4 linked regions of the Caenorhabditis elegans genome follow. The protein of the gene in region 4 purifies or fractionates together with the protein of the main gene of each other region. This does not show direct contact. Each region holds a gene or a part of one and is shown on either strand. Other genes may lie near its edges. The genes, in order: C30G7.3, cyn-6, rml-5 and erfa-3.

Region 1 (5,823 bases), 3.8 Mb from region 4:
TTTTGGTATCTGGTTTCAATTTTAAAAACATGGTTTTTTTAAAAATAAATATTATTAATAAGTTCTCTGCAACAAAACAATATAATAGCAAACAACCCTTTTCAGATAAAACGTATTGCTATTTTTCCTGAAAGTTCAGTTTGAAAAAGCGTTTAATTTGTTTGACTCTCTGTTGAATTTCCTATTTTATATATGCTTATTTTTTCTCGAATAAATAAGTATGGCGTCAAAAAATTCGTTTAAATCAAAAACCAATTTTTATCATCATGTCGACGAAATAGCTTGGCTTGGGGACACACAAGGTCTAACAAATAAGAATGAAGCTCATAACAGCGCAAAAAACAAGCCGTTTTGCTTCACTTTGCCGGCTTATGTCACAGGGCTTAGGCTTAGGATTTTTTTTGGTTTAGCCTTAGGCTCATTTTTAGGCTTAGTCTTAGGCACTTAGGCATTATTTCCAGTTATTCGCTTTCCTGAAAATTGTTAAAAATCTACTTGAAAATCCGGGTTGTTAGGTGACTACAAAAAAGGTTTAAAAAATTGGAAATCCAATCAATAAATTCTTTATTCGCAAAAATCGAGGAAAATCAATTGCCGTGGATAATGAAGTGTGCAACTTTTGTGACTGTTCCCTGGAATAATAAAATATTTTTACACGGTTATGGTGTTTGCAAGGCACCAAAATTGCGCAAACAAGTTTTCTATTGCATGGGGAGCACGCTCAAAAAATTTCAGAGCTCTGTGTCTACTAAGAGCAAAGTTAGGGTAACTGCAAGTTTTGACATGCGTCGTGTGTCGCTAGGACTTTCAAACCACCTTAACTTTGCTCAAAATGTGGCTACAGCTCTGAAATTTTCTGTGGTTCATTTTTTTCATCTAATTTGATGTTCTGAATTAAAACGCTAAAGTTTCAAAAATTTCATGAGTTTCGTGTCGCGTCGCGGTCCAGCCATGAAATTTCACACAGAAACTTAAAAGTACGTACTCCTGGATTCGAAGCTTTGACACGACGCTGTCTCATCTGACAATTGAAATCCTTGACGTCATCATCGATTTCTTGAAGCTTCTTCTGCAAAAAAATCAATATTTATTTTCCATATTAGGCAATCACTCACCAAATGAGCGGCGCTCTGTGGATACACGGCTTCCGTCACAAATTGCAAACGTTCCATGTTTTCACAGGCCATCGATAGATGTGCGGCAACTCGTTCTGCACACTTTTCCGCTTCAATTGTGCCGTAAAACGCCGGATTTTGAGCAAGGATGACGTCATCGAGTTCCACGTCATCATCATCTTCAACTGGAACATTCACGTTCAGGTCGTCAATATCATCGTCTTTTGGAACTCGGTTAGCAGAGAAACTATCGATTTTCACCTCATCATTTCGACAATTTGATATGCGAATTTTTTGGTAGGATTTCGGTTGGAGGTGGCTGAAACTAGGAAAATTAGGGCTTCAAATTTAATGATCAAGAATTGCGTCATGGCACGAAAAATACGCCAAGGAGCAATGATGACGTCATCATATTAACAATTACATTGGGAGCGTTCACAAAAAATTTTGAAAGTCTTCGAACAGTGCGAGCAAAGTTACAGTGGTTCAAAACTTTAGTCTGCGTCGCGGTTTTTCTCAATACTTCAAATCTACGTAACTGTTCAAAATCTACGTAACTGTTCAAAATTGTTCAAAATGCTCGTAGAGCTGTGTATTGATTTCTCTGTATTGATTTCTGATGTATGTATGTATACTACTGTTAACGCCTTAACGCAAAACTCGTGCCTTGGCGCGTTTCTAGTGCAAACTCACCACACATCCTGAATGACTTGAGTCGCCGCTTCATTGATAGTCACATGTCTTTTGGTGGTTTTTGTGACTTTTTGCTTTGTCTCGGGCAGTTTTTTCAGTTTCAGGCGGTGTTGGTAGGCGTCGAAGGCGTCGGATGCCGTGCGGTTGTTGTACTGAAAATTTTTTGAATTGAATGTACGTAATAATACACAGCTAGCCACACAAAAAATTTCAAATCAATCCACTGGGAGCAAAGTTACAACTAGTCAAAGCAAACAACCTGCGACGCGGTCGATTAATCTTATAAGAAACTTCAAGGCCTGGTAACACTGCTCAAAATAGTCTTATCGAACTGAAATTTCAGGTATGTCTTTCTGATAGGATGTCCAACAAGCCAACAAAATGATAGAGCCTTGGCGCAATTCTCGACCCACCTTTCTCTTATCAAATGGCTGATAAATCCACGTGGCAAGTGCCTTTGGTTGCTCCGCCGCTGCACGATCCCAGTTCGTGACATATACATTCCTTTTCTTCGGTTTTTCCACAATTTTTTGCTGAAAATAAAAATATATATTGATTTATTGATTTTTAGTCCAAAAAATCAAAAAATCAATACATTTCCGGTCGGAATCTGACGATAGATAGTTGTTAAAAATGGCATTTTGTACAGCGATCAAATTTTGAAATGATTTTTTTCCAATATTCTCACCTTGAGGGGACATTTGACACGTGGCGACACTACGGTGATTTGTTCACGTGAAAATTCCAAAATTGACAGTGATGAGGTGGTGGAGCCGGTGGTGCCGTCTGCATAAAATCGATAATCAAAAAAAAGAACGTGAAAAAATATCGCTTTTTACTTAAAATCAAAAATATTTTCGAAGTATTGATTTTTAGGAATTACAGGGTGGGCCAAAAGTATGGTAACACGTTTGCAGCTCTATAACTTTACTAGTGGAGAGAGTTATTACATCAATTTGTACAAGTTTTGTTCTCCATAAAATACTGACCAGATGAACGTTTTGAATTTTCAAAATATATCCATCCGCATTGCTGCAGGCCTTCAGAACTTTTGAGATCACGATCTTTATGGCACGCAAGTCGGCATTCTGCGGGATTTCTACATTTTTCTTGAGGAATCCATAAAGTGTCTTACAAGTTTTTATAGTTCAAAGAATGCCCTTGGTCTAGAGATTCTTTAAAAACAAAAATCAAAATATTTTCTATCACGGTATTTCTGTCATGGACTGCGGCAGTAGGTTAAGTCTTGAATGGCATAGTCGCCAGAAAGATGGATGTGAGCGGCGAGTAGCAGTATTCAGATAAATTTATTTTAGTATTTTTCGAGACGTTTTGACCTGACTTTCCAGAATTTTTTTAGAAAATTGAGCTCGGATGATTTTGTGGGTCGTTACGCCTTGCGAAACCAAAAAAACTGAGTAAATTTCGCAAAGTTGAATTCATGAAATATACAAAGGTTCTTGCTAGGCGCCAGTGTCGACACAGAACATTTTTATATGCTACAAAAACAATTAAAAACGCTTCTTCACTTCTTTAACTTTCAATTTAACATAAAAATCATACATCTGAAAATTATTGGCGTGCGTGGGAGGTGTGTTTGTGTGGGAAGTGCCGCGTGCCAAATTACCGTTTTTTCGAAAGGGTTCGCCAAATTGTCGAGGTGATAAAGATCGCACCTTATTGGGAAACATTACAAATTTTGAGTCAAATTGAAGGAAATTTATTCAGCTATCAGTATTCGATAGAAGAATGTACGTATGACGTGGCAGTCGCGCGAAAAGCTCATGTAAAAGAGCGCTTCATGTGTTACCATACTTTTGGCCCACCCTGTATGCTATTTTTACCAACAAAAAAATCAATAATTCGAAAATTTTAATTTTAACTCTTTTCTGGAACAAAAATCGATAATTACACGTAGGTGAAAATTTTTGTGTAAAATATAGATTTTACGGAAAAATCGATATTTTCTAAATTTTCAAAATATTTATTTTTGAGAAATTATCGATTTTTGAACAGAAACAACAAAAACTATCAGTTTTTCCCGACTCTCAAACTCACAGCAGACGTAATACGGATTACGACGAGTGCCGGCGGTACAGACGTTGTCCCAGATGTGAGAATTTTTCTGAAAAATATACGGTATCGTGAATTGCGCAAGCAAATGCTGGCGCATTTCTCGTGCACCTCACCTTTGATTGTCTGCAGTTCATTGGAGTAATGTGAATAAGCGGCGAGTAATAAATGTGGTATTGACGAGTATAAAAGTGAGAAATAATTGAAATTTATCGATTTTATCAATCTCACGGATTATCGATTATTGTTGAGAATAACAAAATTCGAAAAGGCCACGTGAAGATTTAATTTCAAAAACAGTTTTATTTAAAAAAATATATCGATAATTATTACATTTTCTTTCTTTTTTTCAAATTGAGATCATGACAATACAAAAATCAATAAATTAATGAGAAAAAATCTATAAGACTCCCGAGTAGAAACCATTTTCCACGACATTAGATTTCAGAGTTACATACTTTCCATCTTCCTGTAAAAATCGATAAATTTTGAATGATCGGTAATCTGCCATTTTCAATTTTTGACAAATCGATAATGTGAAGTTTTAATTTTTTTTTTTTGAAAAGTCGATAATATGAAATTTTAATTTTTGAAAAATTGATAATTTTTTATTAATTTCCGGAAAATCCATCATTTGAAATTTTTCATTTACGAAAAACATTATTTTTTATTCACAAAAGCCAAGAAATCAATTGTCGTGGATAATAAAGTGTGCAACTTTTGTGGCAGTTCCCTAGGTTAATGAAATATTTTAACGCGACTTTGGTGTTTGCACGAGAATAGAGCCAAGACACCAAATTTGAGTCAGATATCATGATAACCAATATGGCTTAATGCTACGAAAATAACTTAAATTATCTTCTAAAAATCTCGGAATTAAGCATTGTTGGTGCAAGACTAATAGAAATAATACGGTATATGTTTTTTAATCTACAGTTGGTCAAATATTTCATTGCGAGGTCAATCTGGGTTGTGATGGTTTAACGTCGAATTGTAACTTTTTTGCTGCCATCCCATCAAATTGAACAAAAAACTTACAGCTTTTTATAATATAGAAACAATTTTGGATGCTATCATGTCATAAATATTATAGTTCTATATTTATCAGTCGGCTTCTATGTAAGAAGCATTTAGAATTTCTTCGTCATTGTGAACAATAGATGATTATTGTCAGCTTTTAATTATTATTTTTGCAATTGGACAAATTTCAAACACATTTTCAGTACATCTACAAAAATTGACAACGGTGAAGTAAACTACGATGTCGCATTGGTTTATTAAATTTCAAAATGATGACTAGAAATGCGAACAGTCATCAAATTACATGGATTTTCACAATATTTGGATTCTCTTCATCAACTTGAACTTCAGCTTCTGACAATGAAATTTCTGATAAAGTATTATTCACCGATTGAACATCTGAGGGTATTGTTATTTCCTCATTTGATACTGGAGAGCATGCAGGTGCGGCTGGTGTCGTTTTTGATGGGTCGGATGTTGAACCATCCTTCAAATCTTTTGCCTTTTGTCTTGAATTCGTTAATATTTTTTTGATAGCTATTGAAATGTGCCCATCCTTGTTGAGGTATAGGAAAATGAGAAAAAGAGCAATTAACATGAAGCCGAAACCAATGATGAAATCAAAAACTGCCATGTTTGAAGTTCTGGAATTCTTTGAAGTAGAAATCATTTGTATCCTATATGTTTTTGAATTGGAAAAAACTTACAGCTTCTGAAAATATAGAATCAATTTTAAATGTCATTTTTGTCATAAATATAATAGCTTTTGTACTTTTCAGACGGCTGCTTCTAGGTGTTAAGAATTCCGAAGTTTTTTTTGTTATCGCAAACAATTGATGATGATTTATTTTGGAAATGTGACTAATAATATTTAATTGTGAAACTTTTTCGTTATTATTTTCCCGATGAAACAAATTATTTG
Region 2 (3,240 bases), on a different chromosome or scaffold from region 4:
GTAAGAAACTTCAGGAAAAGTTAGAACAGCTAAGTCTTTCAAAAGAGAGCTTAATCTTCAATGAGCAAGATGCTCGACACTCGAGACGACTCCTCTCAAATTTGGAGCAGCTGATTTTTGTGGGTGGTGTGCCGAGAAGTGGGACTACTTTGATGAGAGCTATTCTAGATGCACATCCGGATGTTCGATGGTAAATTTAGAAAATTTCAAAAATGCGATGTATGCTGCGCTTGGCCAAAAGATCTTGAATTTCTTCTCCTTTAAAACTTTTAAACTCCGTCGAAACAAGGCTTTCTGAAGTCAAGACTTTTTCTTGACAATATGATACTTCTTATTCAGAAAAAACAAAACGTATTACTTCTGCTCACTTCAAACTTTCAGTGGCGGTGAAACCATGCTGCTTCCAAGTTTCCTTACATGGCAAGCAGGCTGGCGGAATGATTGGGTCAATAATTCAGGAATTACTCAGGAAGTATTTGACGACGCTGTTTCAGCATTCATCACTGAGGTAGTGCTCTTGTCACCGTGTTCATCTTTAATTGCAATTCATACAGATAGTCGCGAAGCACAGTGAACTAGCACCTCGTCTGTGCAACAAGGATCCATACACCGCATTGTGGCTTCCGACTATTCGCCGACTGTACCCGAATGCAAAGTTTATTCTGATGATTCGAGATGCTCGTGCCGTAGTTCATTCAATGATAGAAAGAAAAGTACCAGTTGCTGGGTATAATACGTCTGATGAAATTGTAAGGTCTCCCTAATGAAACTCTTGAATTTCTAAAGATAATTTGAAACATTTAGTCAATGTTTGTTCAGTGGAATCAGGAGCTTCGAAAAATGACTTTTCAATGCAATAATGCGCCAGGGCAATGCATAAAAGTATATTATGAACGACTGATTCAAAAACCTGCGGAAGAAATCCTACGTATCACCAACTTCCTGGATCTGCCATTTTCCCAGCAAATGCTAAGACATCAAGATTTAATTGGAGACGAAGTTGATTTAAACGAGTATGTGCTTTCTTCATTAAAACTTTTGAACTTCAACTATCTCTTAATTTTGCAGTCAAGAATTCTCTGCATCACAAGTTAAAAACTCGATAAACACTAAAGCCTTAACCTCGTGGTTTGATTGTTTTAGTGAAGAAACTCTACGAAAACTTGATGACGTGGCACCTTTTTTGGGAATTCTTGGATACGATACGTCGATTTCAAAACCCGATTATTCCACATTTGCGGATGACGATTTTTACCAATTTAAAAATTTTTATTCTTAAAGTTTTGCACTGTAACCTATAACTTTTATAGAAAATAAGATGTCCAAAGTTACCTACATCATAGATTGTTATTATTTTATTTTTATCTATAGATACAACTGTTAACCTACATCATTATCATTATCTCCCATTGTTTTCAGATAGAGGTCAAGGTAACTTTCTAATTCTCCACACTCTCTGCAACACTATAAAAAAGAATGCGCGCACGCACAAATGTCCACTATTCCGCCGGACACGGCTGCTTCCTGCAGCTGTATCGATTTTTCTTTTGTCGTTTTTTTCTTTTCGAACAGGATTTTTGAATGCATTCTTCTATATTTTTTGAAAAATAAAACTTGCAATTAATATACTTACAATTAAATACATGCTGTTGGATTTCTAGAAAATTGCTTACATTGTTAGTTAAATTAAATACTATGCATTATATTTATAAATAAAATATTTATTTATTATAACTTAGTACTTAGTACTTAAGTACTTAAAGTACAAAGTAGGGGAAAAAAGATCAGGAACTAGAAATCTTATGATTAAATTTTGATAGGCTAAATTATTAGAATTTTGTTTAACTTCAAACGATTAATTTTGAAACTAAATTCTTACTTTGAGGTTTTTTTAAAAATCATATTTTATGTCAAATCCGACTTTTACCATATACTACTCTAATTATATTACTATGAAAATGAGCATCCAAAATCTCAACAAGTTTCCAGATGAGCCGTGCTCTTCTTTTCTTCGTTCTCGCCATTCTGGCTTTGTCAGCCGAGGCACGTGGACCACGTGTCACTGACAAGGTCTTCTTTGACATGGAGATCGGAGGAAGACCTGTTGGGAAAATCGTCATCGGACTTTTCGGAGAGGTCGTGCCGAAGACAGTGAAGAATTTCGTTGAGTTGGCACAGAGAGCTGAGGTATTTCAGTTTGTTAATTAAATTCTGTAGACTTTAATATTTTCAGGGAGAAGGATACGTTGGTAGCAAGTTCCACCGTGTCATCGAAAACTTCATGATTCAAGGTGGAGACTTCACACGTGGCGACGGAACCGGTGGACGATCGATCTACGGCGAGCGCTTTGAAGATGAGAACTTCAAGCTTCAACACTACGGACCAGGATGGTTGTCAATGGCCAACGCTGGAGAAGATACCAATGGATCTCAATTTTTCATCACTACCGCCAAAACCTCATGGCTCGATGGAAAGCATGTGGTGTTCGGTAAGATCCTGGAAGGAATGGACGTAGTTCGTGAGATCGAGGCTACACCAAAAGGAGCTGGAGATCGGCCAATTGAGGATGTTGTCATCGCCAACGCTGGACATATTCCAGTAGAGAACCCATTCACTGTCGCCAGAGCAGGAGTTAATTAAACCTAATGATCTACGGGTTTTCCAATTAATATGTGTATTTTTGTTGAATGTACTATAATTACTTTCTAAAATTCTAATAAACGTGTTTTGTTTCAGTACTTGATTATACAGCGCTGTCAGGATGTGCTACGTTTTGGAACTTGTAATAGTATTAATAATTGAGCAACCTGACTTGCCAATGTTCGAAATACCAAAAACACTATATCATAACTTTGTGGAGTATTGGTTTCAATTCTGAAGTTGAAATACACTTCTAAAAGCAATAATTTATTCTCGATCCGTTCGTCTAACTAGTAAAGTATAAAGATTTGTACATTTGAAGACTCATTAGAATGGGTTGGGGCACGTTCCGGTATTGACAAAGACCGACTTCAGGTGAGTATAATGTTCGAGTACTGCTGTTCCGTTTTCACGTCCGAATCCTGATTCTCCGACTCCTCCGAATGGAACCAGTGGCGCTGAAATTACAGGTTCTTTTCTAGATCTAGTGGGATTCGGAGCAACTTACAAACATCATTATAGGTATTGACATAGACGTTTCCAGCATTCAACTGCTCAGATACTCGATAGGATCTTGAGAGGTCTCTGGAATAATGAGA
Region 3 (5,531 bases), on a different chromosome or scaffold from region 4:
CCTATCTGAATGTTCGGTCGTTTTCGCAAATATGCCACGTATCGATTGATTTCTCTATTCTACGTGTATGTGATGGCTCTTTACTCATTGCAAGTTGATGATGACCTCGATGATAAGGATAAGGATAATTAATTTCGAAAAAAAAAAGTTTTCTTTTTTTGAATAAAGCTAATTTTTTACTTTTTTATGAATCAGTACTAAAAAAAATCTGGAAAATTATGGCCCAAATCAAGAAATTTCCAAAAATTAACGTCTCCGGAAACTTGTTTCTCTTGTTAGGCTCCGCCCATTTTTTAGGCCAAAATTTGAATAAAAAATTGTCAAAAAAAATTTGCCGCGAAGATCATTATTTATATATTAAAAAATATTATGAATTGATACTGGTATAGGGTTAGTATGGGGATATGGTCAGTGTACTGTAGTAGTACTGTAGGGGTACTGTATGAGTACTGTAGGATTACTGTAGTTTTGGAAAAATTGACTTTTTGTCTTTTGAAGAGATATTGGTTTGAGGTTAGTAGGGGGTATAGCCGGGGTACTGTAGTAGTACTGTAGGGGGTGCTGTAGGAGTACTGTAGTTTAAGAAAAAATTTAGTTTTTTTTTTTCAAATTCAAATTTAATGGGAAAATTTTTTGGTGGGAATTAAAATCTTCTGTGATAAAATTTTGGCTGAAATTCAAATTTTCTGAGAAAAAAAACAACTTTTTTAGAAAAATCTGGAAACTTCTAGAATTTTCTAAAAATTGAATTATAATTTTTCAGACCAAACTGGCGACTAGAGTGGCGACTAGACTGAAAATTTTTCAGAGCGACTTTTTTGCAGCTCAAAGCTGTGCTCCCACTTGGTTTCAGTCCGTCAATACGGTTTGATCTACAAAAAATGCGGGAATTTTTTTGCCCAAAAAAATGTGACGTCACTCTTAACCATGCAAAATCAGTTGAGAACTCTGCGTCTCTTCTCCCGCATTTTTTGTAGATCTACGTAGATCAAACCGAAATGGGACACTCTGCCACTGATTTTTTTTGCACCAGGGGCCTATTTAGAATGGGGTTTTTTTTCAAACGAATTAGGTTTTATTTAGAAGTCTGGAACTTAGTTAAAATATATTTTATTTGGCCCTTGTAAGTTTAAGTTTTTCAGAATTTTCAGAACTTTTTGAAAGAATTTTGGCGCGCGAAACTTGAATGCTGTGGTTTTTCATGCTACGTGGCTGCAAAACTTCTATTGTCGCAGATAGAGTATACAATCAATGTCCTGGATCTATCTCGATTTCATTCGCATGTCTCTCTGCGGCTCTCATCTACCAATACTCTCTCACTTCTATCTGTTCGTTGCGATCTCTGCGCTGCCGTCCTTGACCGCGATATGTCATACAGAAACTGTATTCATTCTCGACTTTCTATTTTTTTTTGTTTTGGAGAATTTATGTTCATCTTAAAATTAATTTGGTTTTTGAACATATTGAGGAAACGGTTTTTTGAAAAATAATTTGCTTTTTTTAAAAATTTTTTTCCCAAAACACATTTTAAAAAATTAATTTTAAAAAATTTCTTTGACAAGCGACACGCGGTTCTGGCTTCCCTCATAAATTGAAATGGAAGAATTTGCCGAACTAGGCCAGGCCATATCCGGGGTAGATTTACGGCGCGTTGCGTGTCGCGTCGCGGCTTGATTTCAGTTGTAAAACTAAATGTATTCGTTCGTGTGGAGTGCACGACTTTCCCAGTCCGGCAGGCAATTGTCAATGGAGCGGGAAAAATTTAATGAGGAAGGCCAGAACCCCGTGAAGCGACACTCCGTTGCTAGGCGTTGCAGATTTTTTGTTAAACCTTCGAAATTTCAGTGAAAAATGACCGTTTTGATTACCGGCGGGATTTCAAAAATATCTACTCAACTTGCGGAGGCGGTGCTAAAAAACGGAAGAAATGTGGTTCTTCTGCACAATAATGAGGCGGTAAGTGGTGGCCTACAAAATTTTCGAAAATTAATTTTTAATTATCGAGTAGTATAGGATTTTCCAGCTGGCCGAGAAATCCTTGTAATGGCCTTAAAAGTTTAACGTTCCTATTCCGGCAATTGGTAATTTCGGCAAATTTGCCCAAATTTGTCCAAATTGCCGGAATTGCCGGAATTGCATTTTTAGGCTCCTAAATCTACAAAAAGTATGAAATTTTTATTTCCGGCAATTCTGGCGATTGCAGGTTCTCAAATTTTTCAGCAATCGGCAATTTTGGCAATTGCCGGTTTTTTGAATTTTCGGCAATTACCGAAATTGCCGAACAGCGAAAATGGTTCCCATTGAAAATGCTAGAGTGGCCTAGAAATTCTCAGGTGGCCGAGAAATTTCATGATGGCCTAATTATTTCAAATTTCTCTTCCAGATTCCAACAAATCTGATCAATAATCCATCGCTCACACTTATCAATTTATCATCAATCAACGAGGAAGCAATCAAAAATCTAATCGAAAATTACAAAATCCAAACAATTTTCGACGCATCTCTCACCACAACTGATGTGCTCTTGGAGCCAATTCAAGGAGCTAAGAAATTGATTCTGGTAAGGTTTTAGTAAACATGCTCTATTGGCAAACATTGGGTGTACTCCACGTGAAAATAGAGAAATTTCGAATTTCGTAAAGTCAGAAATTAAAAAAAAAATCCAGAAAACTCCTGGGAAGTCAGAAATTATCAGAAAATTTGGAATATTTTTTTGAAAAATAAAATAAAAATTCCAGAAGTCCACGTGGTGTCAGGCTGTCCCATCACGGTTTGATCTACAATAAATGCGGGATTTTTCCCCCAAAAATATGTGACGTCAGCACGTTCTAAACCATCTGCGTCTCTTCTCCCGCATTTTTTGTAGATCTACGTAGATCAAGCCAAAATGAGACACTCTGACACCACCTGAAAGTCCGAAATTTCTAGAAAATGTTGAATGCTTTAAAAAAAATCAGAAAATTCCAGAGGTTTCTTTAAAAAAAAGGTTGAGAAAAATTGAAAAATTTATATCTTTTCTAAAATTCTAAAAAAAATACAAAAAAATATTTTAAAAATAAATCAACATTTCCAAAAATCTTTGAACAATTTAGAAAATTCACGAAATTGCAGAAATTTTCAGAAATTTCAAATTTTTTTGAAAAATTTCCGTAAAAGCACGCGCGCTCAGTTGACAAACCCCTAGAATTAAAAAAAAATCAATATTTTTTTCAGGGAATCACGTCAATCCTCGATGCAATCCGTAAATCCGCATCCCCACCATCTCTGGTTCTCATTAGTGGTGACGAGGTGTACGGTAGGGCGAAGAATCGTGTCGAGACCCAACCTCTAGAGCCGGTCACATTCATCGGCTCAGCTCAAATGTCCGTTGAAGCAATGGCTCACAGCTATGCTGTCAGTTATCGTATTCCAATGGTCATCGGAAGGGTATCCGATGATTTATCGATTTCTGACGCGACACGTGGATTATTGGCAATTGAAAAGTTGGCACAAAGCCAAAAACCAGCGGAGGTCTACAATATTTCGGCTTCTTCAGCTGAAAAAATTCAGAAAGAAACGAATTGGAGCCCGTCTGGCTCTGTAAAGGAACAGGGACCCATCGAAGAAGTTTTTAAGCCAATTTTCTTAGTTTTCGGAGCTAATTCGGAACTGAAAACTCAATTTTTGGAGCTGCTAAAGCTGGAGGGACTGGTTTCCAAGGTTTGATCTCAAATTTTTGTATTACGGTAGCCACAAAAAAACACCATACTTTACGACAATTTGCAGAAAATATCTAAAAATTACGTCTTTTGTATTACGGTAGCCTCAAAAAAAAAAACACCATACTTTACGACAATTTGCTGCTCCAGGGGTAAAACTAAGCGGGAAATTCAAAAAAAGTGTCTAAAATTCGTTTCTAAATTTTTAAAACTCTCAAAAAGTCAAAACTTAACTAATTTCCAGGAATCCACAATCACAAATCTGCAAGAAGCCACTGATAAATCGGTTATCGATGAGATTAACACAATCAATCCATCCCATTTGGTTTATTTCGGAAATGAAACCGGTAAGTGACTTGGTGGCTGAAGACAGTGGCCGCAAAAAGTTTTTAGGCCATGAAATTATATTTTTTGGTCGGAAATGCTTTTCTTTTTACGCTAAAAAAATCAAAAATGCCAAAAAACAATTTTTTTTGGACTTAAAATTTGTCTCAAAATTCAATTTCACGAATCACGGGTTCTGGCCTTTCTCATTGAATTTTTCGCGCTCCATTGACAATCGCCCGCCGGAAAACGTGTGGGAAAGTCGTATACTCCACACGGACAAACACATTTAGTTTTACAACTAAAATCAAGCCGCGACGCGACACGAAACGCGCCGTAAATCTACCCCAGATATGGCCGAGCCAAAATGGCCTAGTTCGGCAAAAACTCTTCCATTTCAATTTATGAGGGAAGCCAGTGGCCGCAAAAAGTTTTTAGGCCACGAAAGAATCTTTTTGGTCGAAATTTATGTCAATTTATGCTTTAAAAAAATTCAAAAATGTCAAAAAAAAAATTTTTTTTGGACTTAAAATTTGTCTCAAAATTCAATCAAAGCTTTTTTCGCTAAAATATTTTTTCACCGAGAAAAAAATTCTGGGCCAAAAAAAAGCTTTTTATTTCAAATTCCAGACTCATTCGAAGGCGACTGCTTCACTCTCCGTACCAATATGGCGACTAATCTCTATTTTCCATGGCTTCTCGCAAGTATTGCCGAAAAGTTCTCCCTACACTTCACCCATTTTGGAAATACTTCTATGAGCCAAGAGTCTTCAGCTCTTGCCGTTAAAGGATACACTGGGAAAATGTTGGAATATTTCGAAAAAACGCTCATAATTGGACAGAAAATCGATAAAAACGTGCTGGAATCGATTAAGGCATGCAAGACTGGAGGACTTAATAATAATATTTAATTATTGAATTTTTGCAAATTATTTTTGAACTTAAAGCATTCCTTTTTCTGCGATTTTTTCAATCAATAAATTTTGAAATTAGTGTTGTACTGGCAAATTGGCAAAATGCCGGAATTGAAAATTTCAGGCAAATCGGCAAACCGGCAATTTGCCGAAATTGGAAATTTCTGGCAAATCGGCAACCCCGCAATTTGCCAGAATTGAAAATTTCCGGAAAATCGGCAAATCGGCAAACCAGCAATTTGCCGGAATTTAAAATTTTCAGCAAATCGGCAAACCGGCAATTTGCCGGAATTGAAAATTTCCGGAAAATCGACAAACCGGCAGATTGCCGGAATTTAAAATTTCCGGCAAATCGGCAAACCGGTGAATAGCCGCAATTTGAAATTTCCGGCAAATCGGCAAAACTGGCAAATTGCCGTAATTTAAAATTTCTGGCAAATTACCAGAATTGAAAATTTACGGCAAATTAACGGAATTGAAAATTTCTGCCAAATCGGCAAACCGGCAATTTACCGGAAATGAAAATTTCCGGCAAATCGACAACCCGGCAAATTGCCGAAAATGACAATTTCCGGCAAATCGGCAAACTGGCAAT
Region 4 (5,189 bases):
TCCTGTAATTATTGTGAATTCTGTTATAGAATTTCTAATTTCAGCAACGATTCAATCAAAATTATTTTCGTTCGCTTACTTTATTTTTAGAAAACGCCAATTTGAGCCGATCGTGGAACCATTTCGATCCACCAGGGTATTCCTTCCCCATATGGTACAAGTTTTTGTACAAGTCAATTACTCTGCTTCTCAATGACATTCCTCAAATATTATCTGATCAAATCTGTGCAATTCAAGCAAAGAGTAGGCACAGGTGTTTCGCGGTTTTTAAAATACTTATGAAATGTAGTTCGCACACTTCTACGAGAGGCACCAGCGATATAGTAAAATACTTGCAAAATCGCAAATATTTTGCAAATTGCGACCACCGAGAATCGCGATTACCAAAATACTGCTAAAATGTTAGTGGTCCCGCAGCGAAATTCGCGATTTACAAAATGCGTCTGTAATATTGGTGGCCATAAGTATTTTACAAACGGCGAATCATATGTGGGTATATCATCAGGTTATTTTCCTTTTTTGATTATTCGTATTACAGTATAGTCCAAAGTTTAAAACAAACACCCCATTCATATTATGAATATTGAATGAATCAAATCAAATTAATCGAATAAATAGAGAAAACAATGAACAAAGATTTAAATTCTGAATAATATATGAAGGGAAAATGGAATACGAATAGAATTTTGCTTTATGGATAGTGGAAGGGAAAATGAATTCAGGTAATTTCTATTAGAAATAGGATTGGTAACATTAGATTCAACAATCTTCCCAATGGAAACATGTGGAATCTAAAAGAAAAATAGTGAAAAGCGACATGTGGGAGGGACAGAAAACGGACCGGCTGAAATCAGAAAAAAAAACAATTTTTAGAATAGAAATGACTAATTTATCAATGAAATTACTCGACAACTTTGAGGACCTTTCCGATAGCGATTGTTTTTCCTTCATCTCTGAGGGTGAATCTTCCAAGGTATGGATACTCTTTGAATGGCTCGAGTACGAATGGTTCAGGACTTTCTAGTCTCATAATGCACTTCTCGTCTTGTTTCACAAACTTAGCACGCTTCTTTTCGCCCGTTTTCTTGTCAATTGTGGCAATGACTCCCTGAAAATGTATTTTATTTGGAAAAAATACTTACGAGAAAAGCAACAGTCTCATTTTTAACGTTTCTTGTAAAAGTGAAAAAAATGTCACATGAAAGTAGAAAAATGATTTGAAATTTCGGGATCTCGGCAAAAATCAGAAAATTAAAAGACAGAGACCCGAAGAACTCGGGGGTTGTCCAATTGGGGGGATTACCAACTCGGGGGATTGGCCCCGCCCACAGAACCGTGGCTTGCAATACGCCCATTTCTGCAACTGCCGCACGGTTTTAAACCTGTATTTTTCTCATTAGAGCGAGAAATAACAAGAAAAAATAATTTTATAACCGTGCGGCAGTTGCAGAAATGGGCGTATTGCAAGCCACGGTTCTGTGGGCGGGGCCAATCCCCCGAGTTGGTAATCCCCCCAATTGGGCATCCCCCGAGTTCTTCGGGTCTCAAAAGACATACCTTCACAGTGACTTCTTCGACAGCTGATTGAATATGCAATACACATGAATATCCGGATGCAATAATTGATCTGTGCTCGAGGACAAGGACTTCAGCATCGAAAACGCGGCCAGTTTTAGCAAGAGAATCTGGTGAGCAAATAATGAATCCTCCTTGCAATTCGTTTTCTTCAATTCCCTTCAGCTTGAATTTGATATTATCTCCAGCGACGACACGTTCAGTCTCCACATCATCCGCCCAAATCTGAAGCACCTGAACAGGCTGTTTGTTTGGCATAACAACAAGTGTATCTCCTTTTTGCACACATCCCGATTCCATCTTTCCGATAATGACAGTTCCCATTTCAGAATATTTTTCAGCAACAGTGCACCGGACAGGTCCATTGAAATCACGTTTGTAGGATGGGAGAAGCACATCAATAAATTCGATGAAACACGGACCTGAATACCAGTTTCCTTCGGATCCCGTCGGTCTATCCTTGATGAAGGCTCCAGTTAGCCCCGAACATGGAACATAAGTGATATCAGTCTTTGGATTGAACCCAAGCTTTCTAAGAAACGGCGTGAGTTTTCCTTCGATTTCCTTGAAACGCTCCTCTTCCCATTTAACGGTTGGATCGTCCATCTTGTTTACGAGGATGACCAGATGCTTAACTCCTGCAGTCTTGACAAGCATAGAATGTTCACGAGTTTGGCCTCCCCGATCAAATCCAGTTTCAAACTCTCCACGACGTGCGGAGATAACCTAAACAGATTAAAATATTTTCAGTTCTTAACAGAAAAGCTTTCATCGTGAAACATACCAGAACAGCTAAATCAGCTTGATTGGCTCCAACAATCATGTTTGGCACAAAAGATTTGTGGCCCGGTGCATCGAGGATAGTGAAATGACGCTTCTCGGTTTCGAAATAGGCACGTCCAACCTCCACAGTCTTTCCCTTCTCTCTTTCTTCGTCGTTTGTATCCATACACCAGGAAAGATACCAACTTTCACGACCCTTTTCCTTGGCTTCTCTCTCGTATTTTTCCAGTGTCCGCTTGTCAACCATTCCGGTTAAGAACATAAGCTGTCCTCCAATGGTGGACTTTCCAGCATCAACGTGCCCGACAAATACCATGTTAATGTGTTCTTTGTGAGTGCCATCGTCGACGTATACGGTACGTTGAAACTTCTTGGCGAGAGGAGCAACAAGGTCTTCTTCTGGGGTTGGCTGAAAATTGAAATTGAGCTGTTAGAAAATAGTAAAACTGTGTTTAAAATGGAAATGAACTGGGTTTCCTTTACTAAAAAATACAAATATACAAAATCGTTCCAGTAGAAGTGCCCCAATATTCTTCTTTTTTTTAATCAAAAATTGAATTATTTGCATTTTAAGACTTACAGATAACAGTATCAGAAGCTTGAAAATAAAAATAGTGATAGAACAAATATTTGATTGTAGAATCCAAAAAAACAAAACAAATTGAAAGGTCTTGAGGTAAATAACTGTTAAACAAATAATCAATGAATATCTCAAAAATTCGTTCAACGTATGATACCAACTTTCATTGAAATTTTATTGAAACTTATTTTTTTGAAGTATACATTAATTATTCTTCACAATTACCGAACCTCGAAAAAATAATTCATTTGTACTATTTTTTAAGTCAGGTATCAATGCTACTCATAACAGCTTTCATACCTCTTTTTTCGGAGCCTCTGTTGCGGAAACGGGTGCAACAGGCGCAGATTCTTGAACTGCAACTGGTTCAGCAACTTCTGGCTGAACTGCAGCAGGGGATGTGTCTGCTTGAGCTTCCCAATCTGAAAGAATGTTTCGTTTTTTTAAGATATCGATACAGGCAAGTACCTTCTGTTGGTTCTGGAGCAGCCTGCTCTGGTTGAGGCGTGTATGGTTGCCCAGGGACGAATGGTCGTGCATTCGCATTTGGCACAAACGACGAGGCGTTCACGTTCCAGCCTGACATTTTGCGTCGATGCCGAGAGCTCTGAAATCGCTTTTAACTTTTAATTATGAATAACAGGTGTTATTTAAAACATTTATAAAAGTTACCGAACCTAAAACGAGCTAAAACGTTTCAAGCAAAACAGAAAAATTATATTTAAGTCAGACATTTAATTTAAAGTTGTATTTTTGAAATTTTTTTGGAAAAATAGTGCTCAGAATGTCACAGAGTGAAAAATAAATAGCGAAAAACGATCGTTGCACCATTTTGAGAAGTATTGCCAAACGAATGGGGAGGAGCCCAAACGCAATGTGCGGCACGCGTTTTCGCAAGTCTGCCGCATGTCTCTCTGGGTCATTGCCGAAGTGATATTTATTTCAAAAATATAAGCGCCAAAACTCTTGCGAAACTCATTGACGTGTGACTTTTTTATTGATTTTTTGAAAAGATAACAGAAAAACAATTTATTTTGAATTGTGCCCGCTATGAAAATTGAAGTTGCCTTCACTTTCTCAGATTATCGAAGGTTTTTCAATATCACCATGTTTACTTTTTTTTTCGATTTACATCGCTTTTTGAACGCGCTCTCCCGAACTTATCCAGCCAAATTCCACAAAAGGATAAGACTGTTGTCAAAAATCGATCAATATTAATTTCCTTGTGGCTCCTCGATTCCGTTTGTTTTCTGTTCTCTTTTCACCGGTGTCTTTTCTCACGCGAAGCATCATGTAATACTTCCAAACAAATGCGTTCTTGTTTTCTTATATTAATTTGCAAATAGTTTTGCTTGTGTTCTTATTTTTCTATAAAATAAATAAATGTTTTCTTCAAAAAATGAAGCGTCAAAAATCGATATTTTTTCAGAAACACTGGGCTGATTGACTATAGGAATCACTCTGGTTGTTTTATCACTAACTTGTGTGGCTGCTGCGAGAGAACGGATAAACGAAAGAGGCAAAGACGCTAGCAGACAAAGTGACCCGTCAGTCTGATCATGCAGTGCTCGCCGGATCCCGAAGATCTACTCATTGTGCCGACGCACGATATACCATCCTATGATGAAAGTTTGGATCCATTCGGGCCAGAAGGCCATTTGTCCTTGGACATTGACTGCTTTTCGAAGTTTATGTCTCGTTCAGACAATCGGATTATGTCCAAGCCAATTATCGTTCGTGGCATCCCTTGGCGTATTCTAGCCATTTGCAGGTAAGCTTTTAAAAATTAATAAGAGCATTTGCTCAACAAGCCAAGAGGTTCCAGAAATCAACAAGGAAGTCGGCATTCGATGAACTCTCGTGTCAACCGCAGCAATTTTAACTTCGGGTTCTTTCTGCAGTGCAACAATGATGAGTTGCTGCAGAAACGTGGAATGTGGCGATGCTATGGAACGGCCGTTTTGGAAGTTCTTAATGCGGATGGTCCATCGATTCAGAAAAAGATTCATCATTCATTTCACAATACGGAGGTTGATTGGGGATTTTCAAATTATGACCAGTATGACACCCTGTGCAACCCCAAAGATGGATACGTAGTGAATGACACTATCAAATTGAGATGTCGTTTCACTGCTGATGTTCCGACTGGAGCCAACTATATGTAAGTTTAACACTCTCATCAGGAGACATTGAAAAAAACGACAGGAACCGGGAATTTTATAATAGTTCGCGAATTAATTTATAACTCATA

Evidence for each region.
Region 1: the proteins of erfa-3 (region 4) and C30G7.3 fractionate together in Caenorhabditis elegans (co-fractionation; one large-scale study listed by BioGRID). This does not show direct contact.
Region 2: the proteins of erfa-3 (region 4) and cyn-6 fractionate together in Caenorhabditis elegans (co-fractionation; one large-scale study listed by BioGRID). This does not show direct contact.
Region 3: the proteins of erfa-3 (region 4) and rml-5 fractionate together in Caenorhabditis elegans (co-fractionation; one large-scale study listed by BioGRID). This does not show direct contact.

What each region holds. Positions count from the first base shown.
Region 1 is NC_003283.11:14,941,588-14,947,410, forward strand, and holds C30G7.3 (MADF domain-containing protein), read right to left. Parts: upstream 4,118-5,823; 5' UTR 4,019-4,117; coding exon 3,998-4,018; intron 3,934-3,997; coding exon 3,867-3,933; intron 2,595-3,866; coding exon 2,497-2,594; intron 2,342-2,496; coding exon 2,222-2,341; intron 1,961-2,221; coding exon 1,809-1,960; intron 1,435-1,808; coding exon 1,116-1,434; intron 1,070-1,115; coding exon 986-1,069; intron 633-985; coding exon 588-632; 3' UTR 543-587; downstream 1-542. Other genes in the region: C30G7.4 (Matrix-remodeling-associated protein 7), read right to left, coding at 5,197-5,535.
Region 2 is NC_003281.10:771,425-774,664, forward strand, and holds cyn-6 (Peptidyl-prolyl cis-trans isomerase 6), read left to right. Parts: upstream 1-1,989; coding exon 1,990-2,187; intron 2,188-2,233; coding exon 2,234-2,641; 3' UTR 2,642-2,735; downstream 2,736-3,240. Other genes in the region: tpst-2 (Putative protein-tyrosine sulfotransferase), read left to right, coding at 153-190, 382-508, 555-749, 805-1,013, 1,069-1,279; alh-11 (Aldehyde dehydrogenase domain-containing protein), read right to left, coding at 2,969-3,099, 3,150-3,226. UniProt on the Caenorhabditis elegans protein: PPIases accelerate the folding of proteins. It catalyzes the cis-trans isomerization of proline imidic peptide bonds in oligopeptides.
Region 3 is NC_003279.8:1,791,409-1,796,939, forward strand, and holds rml-5 (NAD(P)-binding domain-containing protein), read left to right. Parts: upstream 1-1,845; 5' UTR 1,846-1,851; coding exon 1,852-1,956; intron 1,957-2,383; coding exon 2,384-2,560; intron 2,561-3,213; coding exon 3,214-3,699; intron 3,700-3,942; coding exon 3,943-4,045; intron 4,046-4,652; coding exon 4,653-4,933; 3' UTR 4,934-5,016; downstream 5,017-5,531.
Region 4 is NC_003283.11:11,109,547-11,114,735, forward strand, and holds erfa-3 (Tr-type G domain-containing protein), read right to left. Parts: upstream 3,546-5,189; 5' UTR 3,525-3,545; coding exon 3,407-3,524; intron 3,361-3,406; coding exon 3,239-3,360; intron 2,768-3,238; coding exon 2,360-2,767; intron 2,302-2,359; coding exon 1,558-2,301; intron 1,109-1,557; coding exon 902-1,108; 3' UTR 554-901; downstream 1-553. Other genes in the region: etfr-1 (LYR motif-containing protein 5), read right to left, coding at 1-2, 80-199; math-33 (Ubiquitin carboxyl-terminal hydrolase 7), read left to right, coding at 4,498-4,709, 4,755-5,099.